Linked DNA regions of Kluyveromyces lactis. The protein of the gene in region 1 purifies or fractionates together with the protein of each later gene. This does not show direct contact. Links are inferred from orthologs where the notes say so. Each region holds a gene or a part of one and is shown on either strand. Other genes may lie near its edges. The genes, in order: STH1, MCD1, YTA7 and SCC2.

Region 1 (4,262 bases):
ATGAATATACTTAATTAATATATATGAACCGACAATGAACACTTGAGTCTACTGAGTATTTGATCATATGCTGAGAGAAAAAAACACACCTTTGTATGAGCCGCAATGAAAACTCCGTACCTGTACGTCTTTGTAAATATGAGCTCAATAATCTTCATCTTCGTCTTCTGATTCCTCCTCATCGCTCGCACCAACTGGAGCCAATCCAGGTGTGAGAGCTTTATATCTGTGGTCTTGTATCGATTGTGGTAGCTTCTCCTTGAACTGTTTCTTCTTTTGTCTCCTAGATTTTACCTTCCTTACCTTCTTTGAATCTTCTGAGTTGGCAAGTATTTGTTTCTGTAAATCTAACAGTTCTTCCTTATCGTCATAATCCCAACTTTTCAGGTTGCGAACATTTTTCTTCACCACTTTATCCAAATAGGATTTCTCATGATCCGTAAGAGAATTATCTACTTGATGCTTTCTTAGTACTTGTAGCTTAGCCTTCTGTTCTATATCCTCTTGGACTTCTTTTCTTCCAGATATCTTCTTTCTCAACATTTTCTTCTCCCTCTTTTTGATCCGGTATACATCCTTTTCTTGTACCTCTACTCTTTTCTTCAAGTTCCTATCTATTAGTTGTGCTTTCGAGCCTTTGTCTCGGCTTGTTTTCTTTCTTTCTGCATTAACCGACGCAGAACCCGGCAGTACGCTTTGCAACAATGCGTTCACAGCGTTGGTAGCATGAGCAGCTGCAAGAGATGACATTATAATCAGAGAATTTTAGTTCTTCAAACCTTGATTGTCAATACAGAAGACACTTTTGTAACAGTTCGAAGCACTGTAACTATCTCAATCGGGGAACTTGATAGTTCACTCTCATCACATCTCATCTAATCTCATCTCATCTCATCCATGGCGTATTATCCAAATTTTCATTTTAGGTCATGAAATATTAAACAAGAAAAGAAACAATGGTGCCCACTTTAATGCGAATATTTTGGCACGTGATCGAAGTTGGTTTATTACCCGGTTCTTGTTGTTGTTACCCGTACTTTGGCCCATGGCAATAGTGAATGTCAAAGAAAAAAGTAAACACGATAAATAAAATTGTGAAAAAGAGGATGAATTTGAAAACAGTTTGATTTTATTCTGAATTTAGTTTTGACACGAGAAAAGGACGAACAGAGGTTTGTTTTCAACACGGCAACGGCGGCTAAAAAAATAGACGCACCGAAAGCGAAACAGTAAAGAATTCTAGGGCAATAGTACCTGTTTGTATCGCGTTAGCTTTGTGACAACTCTGAATTTTTTTAGCAGGACTTCAGTTATTGTTTTACCCCCTTTCAGAATAAAAAAGGTTTAAAGCTCACTAGCGGGAAGAGACCTGGATCACGTTAAGAAGTGTGAAATAAAACAACAATGGATCAAGTCGTCGTAACGAATAACGCGGATACAGCGCCTCCTTATCCGCTTCCTATAGTGAATTCTGAGAATGTTGATAATGGGAATTCCGAAACTGAAAACCAGGACGTTAACGGCAATATCGAAGACAACCATGTTGGTGCTGACAAAGGAAGCAACAACAATTTTCGGAACGACAGTGGTAGTGCTATTGGACAGAACCAGATTGCCGCTGTTCTAGAAGAAATGAAGAAGGTGGAAAGAGTAATCTTGCCACTACCTGAAACGAAAGAACAATTAGAAAATTTGATTTATCGTTACAGATACATTTCTCAATATAGAGATCATAATAAGCTTGAAGTTGAGGCTATTGAACAAATTTTCACCCAAATCTCGGATAAACAGGAAGAGTACAAGGAAAGGCTGCTGAGGTTAAGAGAAAACGCAGCCAAAGATATTCAGTGGGACGAAAAGTTGTTGAAGGAGCAAATGGTAAGCTTACAGCTTTTGAGTAAAGATATAAATATACCGGATGGCCTCTTAGAGGATGATGATGATGAATCAGTAAGTTCCGACAGTTCTGATATCTCGGTACAACTGGAGAAGGTTAAACTTTCTGTTGATTTCGACGAAACAAGTGTGCGCTTAGGCCTTCCCGAAGCTTTAAGCAACTTTCGTCTTAAATCTGGAAATGAAGCCTCGCTTGGAGATTGGGAGGTTGAAAAAATAATCTCCACACTCATTGCGAAAAGAATTAAACAACTTGAAAATCTACCCTCTAATTTGGGAACATATTCTTTAAATGATGCGCTTGATTTTGTAACTAAAGATGATATTCCTACCGGCGCAGACGACTTCAAGTTAAGAGCTTTGGTGGAGCTCAAGTCCTTGAAAATGCTAACGAAACAGAAATCTTTGAGAAAGAGGCTGATTGAAAGTGTTGCAGCTAAATCGCATAATATCATTCCATCTCTCCGTGACTCTCCTTATACTTTAGCAGCTCAAAGATCCATTCATGTTAGACCGAAGACCATCGTTCCACAAACTGCTAGATTAGCAGAAGAACTTGAAAGGCAGGAATTGGTAGAAAGCAGGAGAAGAGAAAGAAACTTACGGTTACAAAGGATCAATAATATTGTATCAAGTATCAACGAAAGATTGGAGAATGATACAACACAACGTGATCGCTGTTATCAAATGGGTAGATCTATCGGAAACTTGCATGGTCATTTGGAGAAAGATGAGCAGAGAAGAATGGAAAGAACTGCCAAGCAACGTTTAGCAGCCTTGAAGTCCAATGATGAAGAAGCATATTTGAAATTGTTAGACCAAACCAAAGATACAAGAATTACACATCTATTGAAACAAACTAATTCTTTCTTGGATTCTCTTGCTCAAGCGGTTAGAGTGCAGCAAAATGAGGTACGCATCAAAAGGGGTGAAGAAATTCCTCCAATCACGGATGAAGAAAGAGAAAAAATTGATTATTACGAGGTTTCCCACAGAATTAAGGAAACAGTAGACAAACAGCCAAGCATATTGGTTGGAGGCACGTTGAAAGAGTATCAACTAAAGGGTTTAGAGTGGATGGTGTCTCTATACAATAATCATCTTAACGGTATTCTCGCAGATGAAATGGGTCTAGGTAAAACAATTCAATCCATCTCGTTGATCAGTTATCTTTATGAAATAAAGAACGAGAGGCAACCATTTTTGGTGATTGTCCCTTTATCCACCATCACGAACTGGACTATAGAATTCGAAAAATGGGCACCTTCTCTAAGAACCATTGTGTACAAAGGGAACCCAAACCAACGTAAGGCTTTGCAACATACAATCAAAATGGGAAATTTCGACGTGGTTCTAACTACTTATGAGTACATTATAAAGGATCGTCCACTGTTGGCCAAACACGATTGGGCTCATATGATTATCGATGAAGGTCATAGAATGAAAAACGCTCAATCAAAACTATCTTACACGTTGACACATTACTACAAAACAAAAAATAGGCTAATTTTAACGGGTACTCCATTGCAAAATAATCTACCAGAATTGTGGGCTCTATTAAATTTTGTTTTACCTAAGATCTTTAATTCCTCAAAAACATTTGACGAATGGTTTAATACACCATTCGCGAACACAGGTACTCAAGAAAAGCTAGAAATGACAGAAGAAGAAACGCTTCTAGTTATTAGAAGATTGCACAAAGTTTTACGTCCATTTTTGTTACGTCGTTTGAAGAAGGAAGTCGAAAAAGATTTACCTGACAAAGTTGAGAAGGTTGTGAAATGTAAGCTATCAAGTCTCCAGCAGCAACTATACGAACAAATGTTAAAACATAATGCTTTCTTTATTGGTGCAGGAACAGAAGGTGCAACCAAGGCTGGTATCAAAGGTTTGAACAACAAGGTCATGCAGTTAAGGAAGATATGTAATCATCCATTCGTTTTCGATGAGGTTGAAAATGTTATCAACCCAACGAGAGAGAACAGCTCCATTTTGTATCGTGTTAGTGGTAAATTTGAACTTCTAGACCGAGTTCTTCCAAAATTTAAAGCGTCAGGTCATAGAGTATTGATGTTTTTCCAGATGACTCAAGTTATGGATATCATGGAAGATTTCTTAAGGATGCGAGACCTTAAATATATGAGATTGGATGGTGGTACCAAAGCAGAGGATAGAACTGGAATGTTAAAACTGTTTAATGCACCCGATTCTGAGTACTTCTGCTTTTTACTTTCTACCAGAGCTGGTGGGTTAGGTCTAAATTTGCAGACTGCTGATACGGTCATTATTTTCGATACTGATTGGAATCCTCATCAGGATTTACAAGCCCAAGATAGAGCTCACAGAATTGGGCAGAAGAACGAAGT
Region 2 (3,651 bases), about 930 kb from region 1:
CTCTGTTGGCTGAAGCTCAAAAGAACGTCTCCTCTGCTGACGAAGTTGCTGCTGCCGAAGCTGCTATCCAACTTGAAGTTTTGGAAGCTTTGCAAGCCGCTTTGAAATAATTGAGATGAACGAAGAATTACAATTGGACCAAGGTATAATACACTTGATACGGATACTCTACTTGGAAGCAATTGTTTTCCCGGTTGATTGTAAACCTGTCTCGGCGTTTGTATTATCCTTCGTCTGCTTTTTTTTCATTATTCTAATTCCTATTATTCCATTGCACAAGCTTACACAACACAACGACGAATACATTTCATGATTTAGCCTAAAGACCCTTTTTTGTTGCTCCGGTCATTGTCCTTTCTTTCCATACAATACTGTAGTGTGAACGTACGAATAAGACTGGGAACTATTGAGAATTAACCTAAAACGACTATTACTAAAATATACAACGAATTAAAACCCAGCGAATTAAAAGAAATCAGAAGAAATAAATACGATAAAACCTAAAAATTCTAAATGATATGGAGGTTGATACAAGTGATGTCTCGATTCCGTTTCAAAAGGGGGTTCTAGTCTTTGTTTTAATGACCAACAAACATAAATCTTTCTTCAATATACTATTCCTTCCTTTCTAACAATATCAAAGAAAACACTGGATCGATTATAATTTGTCTATCCCCGTTAAAAATATTATCAATTAAGAACCGAATTGAAAGACTTAGATTTTATATTTTTTAGCAGAAACGATTTGTGTGTAACTGATGTCTAGTTTTAAGATTCATATTCATATATACCGATTAAACTGACTGCGCATACTGAGAGAGATGATCTGGTTTTGGCATCAACAAGAGTTAGAAAGGCAGGGTAATAAATGGGTATAAGGTCCTCACTTGTTACCCGGATTTTATACCACGAAATCGAAATTTTTCCGGCGGGAAATCTTTTGAGGTCCCAGAAAAAGACATTGTTTTCCCCCAAAAATATTTTCGCGATTTTTCTCCATAACGCGTTTCCGTGATGAGATCTATAACCAGCAATCCTTTAACAAATATCATTGATAAACACTGGATGAGAAGTATGTCTATTCCATCATATTGATTGCACCTTTACCAATAATTTTATCAAATATATATATTACCTATGGAATTTTAATGTCGTGACCTCTGAAAAAAGACACAGTGCTATTTTATTTCATTTTTATTTTGCTAACCATTCCTTATAAGATCAAGTTCTAATCTCGATCTTAAGTTTATATCCATTTGCTATACCATTTGCAACAGGAACCACGAGCCTTATATCACCTAATCCAAAAATAAACAACGTATATGCCACCAAATAGCAATTCACATACTCAGGTGAGATTAAATACAAGCAATGGGCCGTTGGCTCAGATCTGGCTGGCTTCCAATTTGAGTAGCATCAATCGGAACATTGCAAAGACTAATATCGTGGAATCTGTTGAAGAGATTGCCAAAGCTGCAGGTGTTAATCTAGATGATGAATCTGTGGAACCTATCACATTACGTGCTTCCGGTGAGTTACTACATGGTGTTGTAAAAGTTTATTCTCAAAAAGCATCCTATCTGCTTACTGATATCACAGACTTACTGAGTAAAGTGAAATCTATCTTCAAGGGATCGCTGAACAAGAGCGTCACAATTCAGCTAGATACAGTGGCAAAGTTAGATCAGCTTTTATTGCAAGATGCGGTTACAGAACTTGACGTCTTGGAGATGCCCAGTTTGGATTTCTTGAAAGATATCCAAGTGCCAGAAGGTTTTTTGATCGCTGAACGATCAATGGAAAGACAAGTGCAAGGAGCAGCACCTGTAACATCCGCCATTGCAGCACAACAACAAGCATGGGATATGTCCTTAGAAGTTGGAAGGCGATTCCTGGCAGATGAAGATGATGACTTGAATGCTATTGAACATCACGATTCATCTCATTTGAAATTAGATTTTGACCTTGGTGATTCTAATCAAAGCAATAACACTAAATCATGGGGTGAAGGGACTCGTGTTACTGCTAGTGAAGTAAACGCGGATGATGGAGAAAATGAAGGTGATTTGACTATTAGAAATGACAATGACGATGATGATGAATTGCTACCACTTAACGATGATTGGGATTTGGGATTAAACGATGATGATCAGAATATTTCTGGTAATCAGTCTAGCCATGGTAGCGACATGTCTGTAGAGATCGGGAGAAGGGCTGATATTACTCACTCATTGCATGATGATACACTCTTAGACTTTGATCTAGGGCTGCCAAAGGACACAGAACCAGAGCATCAAGAGCAAGCAGAGGCATACATACCACCTAGAGCAGTAAAGAAGAGGGCACCAAGGAATAAAGCCTTTATCAATGTTAAGAAGGTTCTCATAGATGCTGATGCCGAATTAAACGATTCTGAAGTGAAAGGAGGACCATCGGACTCAATTCTTATCGTTTCTGATGAGACTTCGTCCGCTATATCAAAGAAAAAAAGAGCCATCGATGAATTATACTCTGACCTGGACTTCCTTCCTCAAAAGATTATATCTAATTTCTTCAACCATAAAGCTTCAAAGAAGCCTAGAGCTCTGTCACAATCCAGCCAATCTGATGGGTCCGATGTTGATATAGATATCTCTTTGGGTATCGATGGAAGTTTGGTACACAATTCTGATCCATTCGATCACCAACAAATGGGCTTTGATGCAGAATCAGAAGGACCAGTGTTTGCTGATGATGAACCTCCAGTTCTTGCAGCTGATACATCCATGGAAGAAAATGATTACCAAGCCATTCAATCAGACGAATTTGCCTCTCGTGGGTCAATTGAAAAGGAAAAAAGTCAAAAAGTAGAGCTTGCTACCGGTGAAATCGTGTCTAAATCTACAGTGGAAATGGCAACTCTACTGAGAGATGAAATGAGCTCCGGTGAAGCTACTTTTGATAAAATCCTTACTTCGAAGTACCAGGATAACGCGGTAATAACAAAAAGAATGGCCAGTAAAGCATTCTTTGAGTTACTTTCTCTTGCCACCGCAGACTGTATATCATTGAAACAGAAGGAAACATTTGGACAAATCACAATTTTAGGAAAATCAAACTTATATGAGACGTTTGTTACCGCATAGACTTTTAATTTGGATACTTTTATAACGGACATTATGTATAAATAATTAATAATATCTGTTTTTTTAAGTTGGTTTAAATATACATGACGGCAGATCAGTTCAAGTTGTTGTGCTATTCGATTTCTTCATTTGGTTGTTGCTGTTGTTGCTGCTGCTCCAAGTATTCTTGTATTGATAACTGGTTAATGTGTTGTAAAAGCTCCTCATCAGCGAACCTGTTCATTTGGGATATTTCTAGATGTTTACTATCAATTAGTCCTTCGATTGTTTCTACTACATACTCACTTTCTCTATCATGTGGTTGTGGTGGTAGTACATCGAATTCAAACACAGAATGATCTGACCAAATTTCTTCGGGAATAGCAGCCATAACGGATGACTCTTGAGAAAGAATAGCAAACCTTAACAAATTAATTGGAATGTTATTGATGAAGAATGATGTTGGCGCCACGTCGTCATCATCATCGCCATCATTTATATCCTTCACTGCATCAGTGTCAAACGAAGTGGAATTAAAAATGCTTGC
Region 3 (4,316 bases), on another chromosome or scaffold:
CGACGGAAGAATACCTGATTGTTTAACTGACGCTGCCATTATAGAATGTTGGGTCACGTGCCTAACAGCCAACGGCTCCTTCCAACCTTTCTTCCATGCATCTAGTTAGACATCTGGCTTATGCGTGTCTTATATATCCATGACTCGTCTAGCAGATGAGTGAACCATCATATCCACGCAATAACATGCAAATCCACGGCTCTAAGGTGGAAAAAGGAACCCTAAATGGTGTATAGTAATGGTGGCTTCAAGGGTATAAACCATTGGACTTAATAGCAACGGCCGGTAAATTTGCTGATTCAAAGCCTCGAACGATTTTCGTTACCCGGAAAACACAATGACCGGGTAACACTTCACGTCTTTTCAGTCCAGAAGCCCAATCGCGAAAAGCGATGGGCTTCTGGACGAGCGCAGTAAATATGTGCACATTAACGCATCAAGATAGGCACTGTTTGCCTCTCTATATATGCTCATAGTATTTGATATACACGCAACAATAGCACATAACAATGAGTAGTTGGCTATCGGAGTCACAGCGTATGTTAAACCATGTATGCGTTTACTATTATTTTTGGTTTCCCTTTACTAACATTTGTTATTTGAGATCGGCCAGTAAACTCATGCGAACATAAGGGAAATAGAAAGACGGATTGTTCAATCCGTCTTTCTATCTCACTTTTGTTACAGTACTTGCCAAAATCTTGAAATCCCACTTATCTCCCCAGAATTCGGTGCTGTGTTCACGTTCGGTGGATGTTTGTTCTTCCTTTTTGGTATCTTCACCTTCTTCGATAGAGCACTATTGGCTGTTGGGAACATCTTGTTCCTACTCGGCGTGCTGCTGATGATAGGCCCACACAAGACTCTCAAATTCTTCACTAGACCGACAAAGAGACGTGGGACCTTGTTTCTCGTGTTTGGGATATTCATGATCTTATGTAAGTGGACGTTCCTTGGGTTCATCATCGAATCGTTAGGTATAGTCGGTCTATTCGGCGACTTTTTCGGCGTGATCCTCCAATTGCTGAGGTCCATTCCTATAATCGGACCAGTACTGTCTCACCCTACCATTGCACCAGTCCTAGACCGTATAGCTGGTGTGTCAGTGCTTCCTGTGTGATGTGTGAGTGTGTGTATCTATATATATATGAGCTGTATTCGGGAATGGTTACCCTGTCCAAAATATGTCGATTACCCTACCTGAATATACCTCTAAATAAACAAAACCAAAAAGCTCCCAGAACCAGTTTAAGTTGTGTTCAGAGATTTATAACGATAATATACGGCATTAAACACAGCTTTTAAGGATCAAATTGGCGTTTTGGGCCATTAGACAAGCCAATTGGGTTAGGTTCGATTGTTATTCATTAAATCAGAGACTTTGTGGGGTGAATTTTGTGTGTCTCTGTCGCATTCTTTTTGATTTCTACAGTTCCGAAACTGCAAAATAAGAAAAGCCTTTTAGAAGTTTAGATCAAAGGAATCAAAATGACGCTCCATAGCAAGAGCGGTGACGATGAATCTGGCACTCATACTGAGTTTTACGATGATAATGGGATTGCTCATACCACACCGAGGCTGCTGAAAAAAGTTAACTACGCAGAGATTGAGAATGGTTACGATTATATCGAGGAATCTGATACGAATTCTGGAGGAACAGCCGCCGTTGGTGCTAACTATTCAGATACCGGTACTGGTAGGCGTCGTGGTAGGCGTCCCGGTCAGAGGAACAAGAGGGTTCGTGATGATGACGACGATGATGACGTTTCGTTCCACGAGGAAGATGTAGACGATGATGACGATGACGACGACGATGTTGATGACGGCGATGAGTATATCGACCCAGCAGATGATCGCAAACGGATAGCGAGAAGAAGAGATAAAAATTTCATTGTCAAGGACGATGAGGATGGATCTGATGGGAATGAAGATTATAGTATCAAGGAAGAGGATCTGGATGAAGATGAAGATGATGGAGATGAGGATGAAGAGGATGACGATGGTACTGTGAGACGTGGAAGAAGACCAAAACGGTCTGCAGCAAGAAGTACGCGTAGGGAACAGCCTCCTCGGAAGTTAAGGCCGCATAGAACCAGATCGTCTCGTGTTGTAGATGACGATGAAGACGACGATGATACGGTAGGTAGCGGTCGTCATAGATCGGCAAGTGCACGTACTAGAGAAGCGCTTACACTTGAGGACGAAATTAGAGAATTACAGGAGGACAGTCCTATCAGAGAGAAAAGGTCTTTGAGAGAACGTACAAAACCAGTAAATTACACGATCCCACCACCTTTGTCTGAAAATCAAATTGGTGCTATGGAAGCTACTTCGGTGCCAGGAATACCTCCAGGAACACTTCCATACCAATCATCCGTTTATCAGTCCCCAAGAGGTAAACGTGGTTTACATTCGGGTCAAAGTTTTGGACCTATTAGAAGGTTATTCCCTACCGGTGGTCCATTTGGTGGAAACGATGTTACGGCGATATTTGGTAAAAACGTTCAATTCTACAACTCTAATCCAAACGCTCTAAACGAACAGTCAAACAAATTTTTGGATTCTGATTCATCCGATGACGAAATCTTAGCTTTGGGTATGAAACCGAAACCAAAGGATCCATCAAAACAAAAGAAGAAAAAGAAACCGGAAATTGCAGATTTGGACCCACTTGGTGTCGATATGAACATTAATTTTGATGATGTCGGTGGTCTAGATAACTACATTGACCAATTAAAGGAGATGGTGGCATTGCCATTGTTGTACCCAGAACTTTATCAAAACTTCAATATTACTCCACCTCGTGGTGTCTTGTTCCATGGCCCACCAGGTACAGGTAAGACTTTGATGGCTAGAGCATTGGCCGCAAGTTGCTCAAATGAGAAGAGAAAGATCACTTTCTTCATGAGGAAGGGTGCTGACATTCTTTCCAAATGGGTTGGTGAAGCTGAAAGACAATTAAGGTTATTGTTTGAAGAAGCAAAGAAACATCAACCGGCAATCATTTTCTTTGATGAAATTGATGGGTTGGCTCCAGTTAGATCTTCCAAACAGGAACAAATCCATGCCAGTATCGTGTCGACAATGTTGGCATTGATGGATGGTATGGATAATAGAGGTCAGATTATTATAATCGGTGCTACGAATAGACCAGATGCAGTGGATCCTGCTTTAAGAAGACCAGGTAGATTTGACCGTGAGTTCTATTTCCCTCTACCAGACTTGAAGGCTAGAGATAAAATTTTGCATATTCACACCAAGAAATGGAATCCACCTATTTCAGATCAATTTATTTCAAAGCTAGCCTCCTTAACTAAAGGATACGGTGGTGCTGACTTAAGAGCACTTTGTACAGAAGCATCTTTGATCAGTATCCAAAGAAAGTTTCCACAAATCTATAAAAGTGAAGAAAAGCTAAAGATTGATCCTAAATCAGTTAGAGTCAAGGCTAGAGACTTCATGCTTGCACTAGAAAAGATTGTACCATCATCTGCTAGAGCTACTGGCTCTACAGCGCAGCCTTTACCAAAATATGTTGAACCGCTCCTCGCTCAACAATTTATTAACGTCAAGGATCAGCTCAACTTACTACTACCCAAGCAAAGCACAAAATTGAAATCGGGTTCCTCCATTATTCAATATTACTTAGAAAATGAGGATCTTGAGGATTCTGATGACGAAGAAGGTACTGGATTCGATAAGCATGAATTTTTAAAACTTATCAAGAAATCTCGTGTCTGCAAACCGAAACTTTTGATCACAGGCCCGCCCGGTAACGGGTTACAATATATCGCTTCCGCCACACTACACTTTTTGGAAGATTACAATATTCAAATGCTTGACATTCCTACCTTGGTATCGGAGAGTAGTAGAACGATGGAAGCAGCACTTGTACAAACATTCGCGGAGGCTAAGAAGCGTCAACCCTCTGTAATTTGCATACCAAACTTAGAATTATGGCTCCAAGCCTGTCCCCAAAGTTGTCTCATCACTTTAACCACTCTTTTCAGATCATTGCAGAGTAATGAAAACGTGGTTTTACTAGCTATCGCTGACGGCTTATCTCGCGCTGAAATTGAGGACGGTCCACTTGCAATGTTTTCCTTTGGGCCCAACATAGTGAACATTAACGAACCCTCCCCTCATCAAAGGTTTATGTATTTCAAAACCGTAGCTGATCTTATTAAGATGAAACCGACTCAATACATTGAATCGAGGAAAAGGAAGAAGCCACTTCCAAAATTACCTGTCGTCGAAACCTCACAGGAAATAGATGAGAATGGCAGACTTTTAACAGAAGAGGAGAAATTGAGACT
Region 4 (3,998 bases), on another chromosome or scaffold:
TTCCAGCCCAATCTTCCTTCAAAACTCGGGTTATATCTTCATTGAAGTTCCCATTTTGGTCTACAGATTCTCCCCATATCATTCTAAAACCGTCTGGAACGGGAATGATTTGCTCATGTATATTAAAACCAATTTTTGTCCGTATATAAGCTGAATGTAATGCGATTTGAAAGTCACTGTCAAAAACCTTCTTACCACCGTATTTCAAGTCATTATAAATTGGCGAATCAAGAACTTGCTGTGTAAGTTTCCGTATCTGATGCTTCTTCCCAGTTACCAACTGTAAAATTAGGTGTTCATTGTCGACACGCTGAAAATATGTGATTGCACCATTCCACTTTATGAGACCTTCTTTACACTCATTCGCAGTCTTAGATTTTCCAACTTTTGCGACATACTTTCTAGTTAGTGAGAATCCTTTATTCCCGCCATACCTTAGATTTCGACTAAATTGTTGTGCTGACTGTTTGTTTACAGCATATACTATTCCACCGGATACTGGTGTGTCAATCCTGTGGATGGGGTAGTACGATGGTTCATATGTACCGTCCTTCAGGATGCTTCCACTAGAGCTTTGAACAATATCCAATAACACTGGGGGATCATAGTCGTGAGTATTGTACCACGTTCGTTTGTCAGGTAATTGAGAAAGGGCCAAGGGTGGCTTATTAAAAATTACGTGGTGCTTGTCACGCCAGAGCTCTTGTACTTTTAAAGGGAATTCCACTTCACAATGTGTAGCCTTAGCGTTTGTCGACTCCGGGGAGACGATTTTAAAGATCTTCACGAAAGGGGGTTGTTTTATGAAGCCTCTACGTAGCATATCAATTAGTACTATGATTTAAGCAATGCAGATGTACAGGAACTAACGGTTTTCTCCTCTCAGCTACATTCATGACTACTTATGCTTCCCTCATCATTCTCATGATATTTTTCTCAAAACTGCAGCAGCCTTTTTCAAATCAAGAAAGCCGAATAGATATATAAATAATTAATGAGACGAATACTAGATCTCTACAGCAATGAACGGTCAAACGATTTCATCAAGTTGAAAGAAGCAACAGCAGATAGTTTACACCCGGAAGCTCTATTTCATCTGCTTTTCTCTGGGCATTATCATCTTCTTCAAATAATACTGCCTTTCCAGTAATATTCTGATTACTGAGCAGTGGCGGCTATGGCGAAAGGGTTTCCAGGCGAAACTGACAATGAGATTCCCAAACGCATCTCTGAAACACTGAAGTACCAGCCAATTAACCACATAGTACCGAAGTCAGGGCTATCTAATTTGCTGAGTTCTTCAATAACCGAAGATATCAGTATTTCATGTAACAGTGCGTTCGGTTCACCCCCATCTGAACATTGGCTATACCCTCACCCTATCGATTTCGACCCATTTAACGAAGGCGACAGGGACCCCATTTTATTCAGGAGACCCAATAATATTACTTTAAGAGATGAGTCTCAAGAAACTGCTCCTGATCTGAAGCTTCTGAAAAATCTTCCACAGCTAGGAATCAGGTGCCTGACTGTTACAAGCCTGGTCGATTCTGCTAGTATTGTTGCGAATGTTGCTGGAAATCAGAACACAGCTACTAAAAAAAGAAGGCTAGAAGCAGGGGAAGACAAGGTATTGCTGAATGAGCTGGATTCCAAACGGATTCAAATTTGTGTACAATCTAATCCGATGAATGACTTGGAAGTTGGAAAACTTTGTCTTGATCATCTTTCGAAATTGTTAGATTCTGTCGGACTCAATTCTGAAGGGAGTGTTAATGAAAACGCTAAATTCTGGAAGCCATTAGGTGATGTTTACGTTGCTACTTCGGAGGCTATAGATGCAATATCGTTGACGATAAATAAAGTTCTAGGATTTCCGATGGTATTTGAGTATATTGATGTTCAATCTCTTAAAAAAATACTGGGTCTTTGCACTAGAAATATCAAAAGAATCCTAGCATATCAATCAGACAATGAATCTGAGTCCTTAGATCTGAATAACCTTACGTTTGGTTGCGCATTTTTAATTCTTGAAGTTATGATGATAGATCTCAAATCCGCAAACCTTCAGTTAGAAGAATATTACAATGCTGTGTTCTCAGCGCTTGATAATGCGCTCGAGAAGTTACATGTTTCGGACAACTCAAGAGGTATTAATGCAGATATTGGAAATATATTCTTATTCATCAATTTATTGGAAAAGTTTGTCGCCTCTCAATCATACTTGGACGAAATGTTTTTGATCAAATCAGTGTGCATTTGCTGTGATATGCTACTACACAGATGCTATCAACACTTAAACACTAATGTGCTTTTATCGCAAGCGGAGCGGATAAAAGACCTTTCTCTTGGAATATTAATATCACTTTTTTCTGAGTATCCATCTCAGCGGCTATTTATTACGGAAGAATTATTATCACACGTGCATGATATAGTAGTCTCAAAATCCACTAAAAAACTGAAATTGGTCGATGAATTTGAGAATGGCTACGCATCGTATTTTACTGTCGCCCTTGTTGCCATGTTCCAGTCAATAAATGCTTTGCCTGATGCTGAGCTATTGTCAGATTTTACGTCTGAATTGCTTGAAAATGTACTGTCCGAGAATAATGCCGCAAGTTTGGAATTGAAAGGACTAATCGATAACGTCACAACAACTTTATTCGAAGGATTGATTACGAATCCTTTCAAATTCAAATCAATTGTGGAGATTTACATCCAAGATTTGCTAACTATGATAGGAAACCCGAAATGGGCGTATTCTCATCATTTATTAGAAGCTTTTTTGCCGAAATTGTTTCAGATATTCAGCCCTACGTATCAAGGAACAGGAAACTTCGAAGTGCTTGCTATTCAACTTGTCGGCCAAATTACTGCCACTTTGACAGACGTTAAACTGAGGGCTGCATCCGAGGAAAGTAGGGATGTAAAAAGGATATTTAATTTGCAAAATGAGTACAAAGAGTGTTTCGATTGGTTGGGTTCGCAGACCAAGACATATTTTTCCGATAGAGCATTGTGGAATGAATCACTTTTTTATATCAGTGAGATGTTAGATCAGAAGGAGATAGACAAAACAGACGCACAGGTAATGAATTTTGTTATACGTATAATAGCAAAAGAAATAAGGGAGACAGAAATAAGCGAGAAAGAAATAAGCGAGAAAGAAATAAATAATGGTATCGATGGTAATGAAAGAGTTCGGTCCCTTTACATGAAAATTGTTTCACTTAGTCCGTTGTTTAACTTTTATGAACCCGCTTTGAGGCTCATTCTTTCGTTATTGGATCAACAAAAAGTAAAACTTAAATCAGGAGCAGTTAAATGTTTGACCCTATTAGTATCAAAGGATCCTCAGATGTTAGATACTCCTTTTGTTCAGGAAACCATAAAAAACAGACTCTATGACTCTTCGGCTTCCGTTAGAGATGCAATTTTGGATCTTCTAGAGCAGGCCACAACCTACATTCAATTCTACCGAGAAATAAACTGTAACTTTGACGATGACAGTATAGCAGTTCGAAAACATGTTATGCGGATGAATGAAAAGATTCTTGATACAAGTTCCGACCTGAAAATAAAGACATTCGTTTTAGAAAAAGTCTTGAGACGAATTGAGGATGAAGAGGATGTTATCGTGGAAAATGCCAGGAAACTATTACTTCATAGACTAATTTTGAGACATAGTGCATCTGACTTGTCCGTAAAACTGCATAGATTTGATTTATCAGAAACCCTCGAGCTATTATCAACACTCATCGGTTATGGTGGCAAGACTGAGGAACTGTTGGAGTTCTTCTTTCATTTTTTCGTATTGAACCCCTCCATTCATAAGAATGAAGATACGAAGTCGATATTTGATGCTTTAAGAAATCTTGTTAATGTACTTATTGAAGAGATTACTGAGAATGCAGCATCTGCAGACGAACTGAGTGAATCGAATGCAAGAAATAGATATGACCTACTTTATTTTTTTGCCAATTGTCCGATCAATTTCA

The links.
Region 2: the proteins of STH1 (region 1) and MCD1 purify together in Saccharomyces cerevisiae (affinity purification with western blotting; 4 studies listed by BioGRID, with this or other methods). This does not show direct contact. The link is inferred for Kluyveromyces lactis from reciprocal best matches to the Saccharomyces cerevisiae genes STH1 and MCD1.
Region 3: the proteins of STH1 (region 1) and YTA7 purify together in Saccharomyces cerevisiae (affinity purification with mass spectrometry; 3 studies listed by BioGRID). This does not show direct contact. The link is inferred for Kluyveromyces lactis from reciprocal best matches to the Saccharomyces cerevisiae genes STH1 and YTA7.
Region 4: the proteins of STH1 (region 1) and SCC2 purify together in Saccharomyces cerevisiae (affinity purification with mass spectrometry; 3 studies listed by BioGRID, with this or other methods). This does not show direct contact. The link is inferred for Kluyveromyces lactis from reciprocal best matches to the Saccharomyces cerevisiae genes STH1 and SCC2.

Annotation. Positions count from the first base shown.
Region 1 is NC_006042.1:436,826-441,087, reverse strand, and holds the start of STH1 (RSC chromatin remodeling complex ATPase subunit STH1), read left to right. Parts: upstream 1-1,404; coding exon 1,405-4,262. Other genes in the region: RRT14 (Rrt14p), read right to left, coding at 145-750. UniProt on the Saccharomyces cerevisiae protein: Catalytic component of the chromatin structure-remodeling complex (RSC), which is involved in transcription regulation and nucleosome positioning. RSC is responsible for the transfer of a histone octamer from a nucleosome core particle to naked DNA.
Region 2 is NC_006042.1:1,366,872-1,370,522, forward strand, and holds MCD1 (kleisin alpha), read left to right. Parts: upstream 1-1,322; coding exon 1,323-3,125; downstream 3,126-3,651. Other genes in the region: ATP16 (F1F0 ATP synthase subunit delta), read left to right, coding at 1-110; RQC1 (Rqc1p), read right to left, coding at 3,238-3,651. UniProt on the Saccharomyces cerevisiae protein: Cleavable component of the cohesin complex involved in chromosome cohesion during cell cycle. The cohesin complex is required for the cohesion of sister chromatids after DNA replication.
Region 3 is NC_006037.1:856,970-861,285, forward strand, and holds the start of YTA7 (chromatin segregase YTA7), read left to right. Parts: upstream 1-1,488; coding exon 1,489-4,316. Other genes in the region: KLLA0_A09779g (uncharacterized protein), read right to left, coding at 1-39; GOT1 (Got1p), read left to right, coding at 510-537, 726-1,120. UniProt on the Saccharomyces cerevisiae protein: Functions as an ATP-dependent nucleosome disassembly factor that helps evict canonical histone H3 from the 5'-end of genes upon their induction.
Region 4 is NC_006040.1:1,532,405-1,536,402, forward strand, and holds the start of SCC2 (cohesin-loading factor complex subunit SCC2), read left to right. Parts: upstream 1-1,177; coding exon 1,178-3,998. Other genes in the region: pseudouridine synthase PUS5, read right to left, coding at 1-823. UniProt on the Saccharomyces cerevisiae protein: Plays a structural role in chromatin and is involved in sister chromatid cohesion. Forms a complex with SCC4 required for the stable association of the cohesin complex with chromatin, which may act by hydrolyzing ATP from SMC1 and SMC3 heads.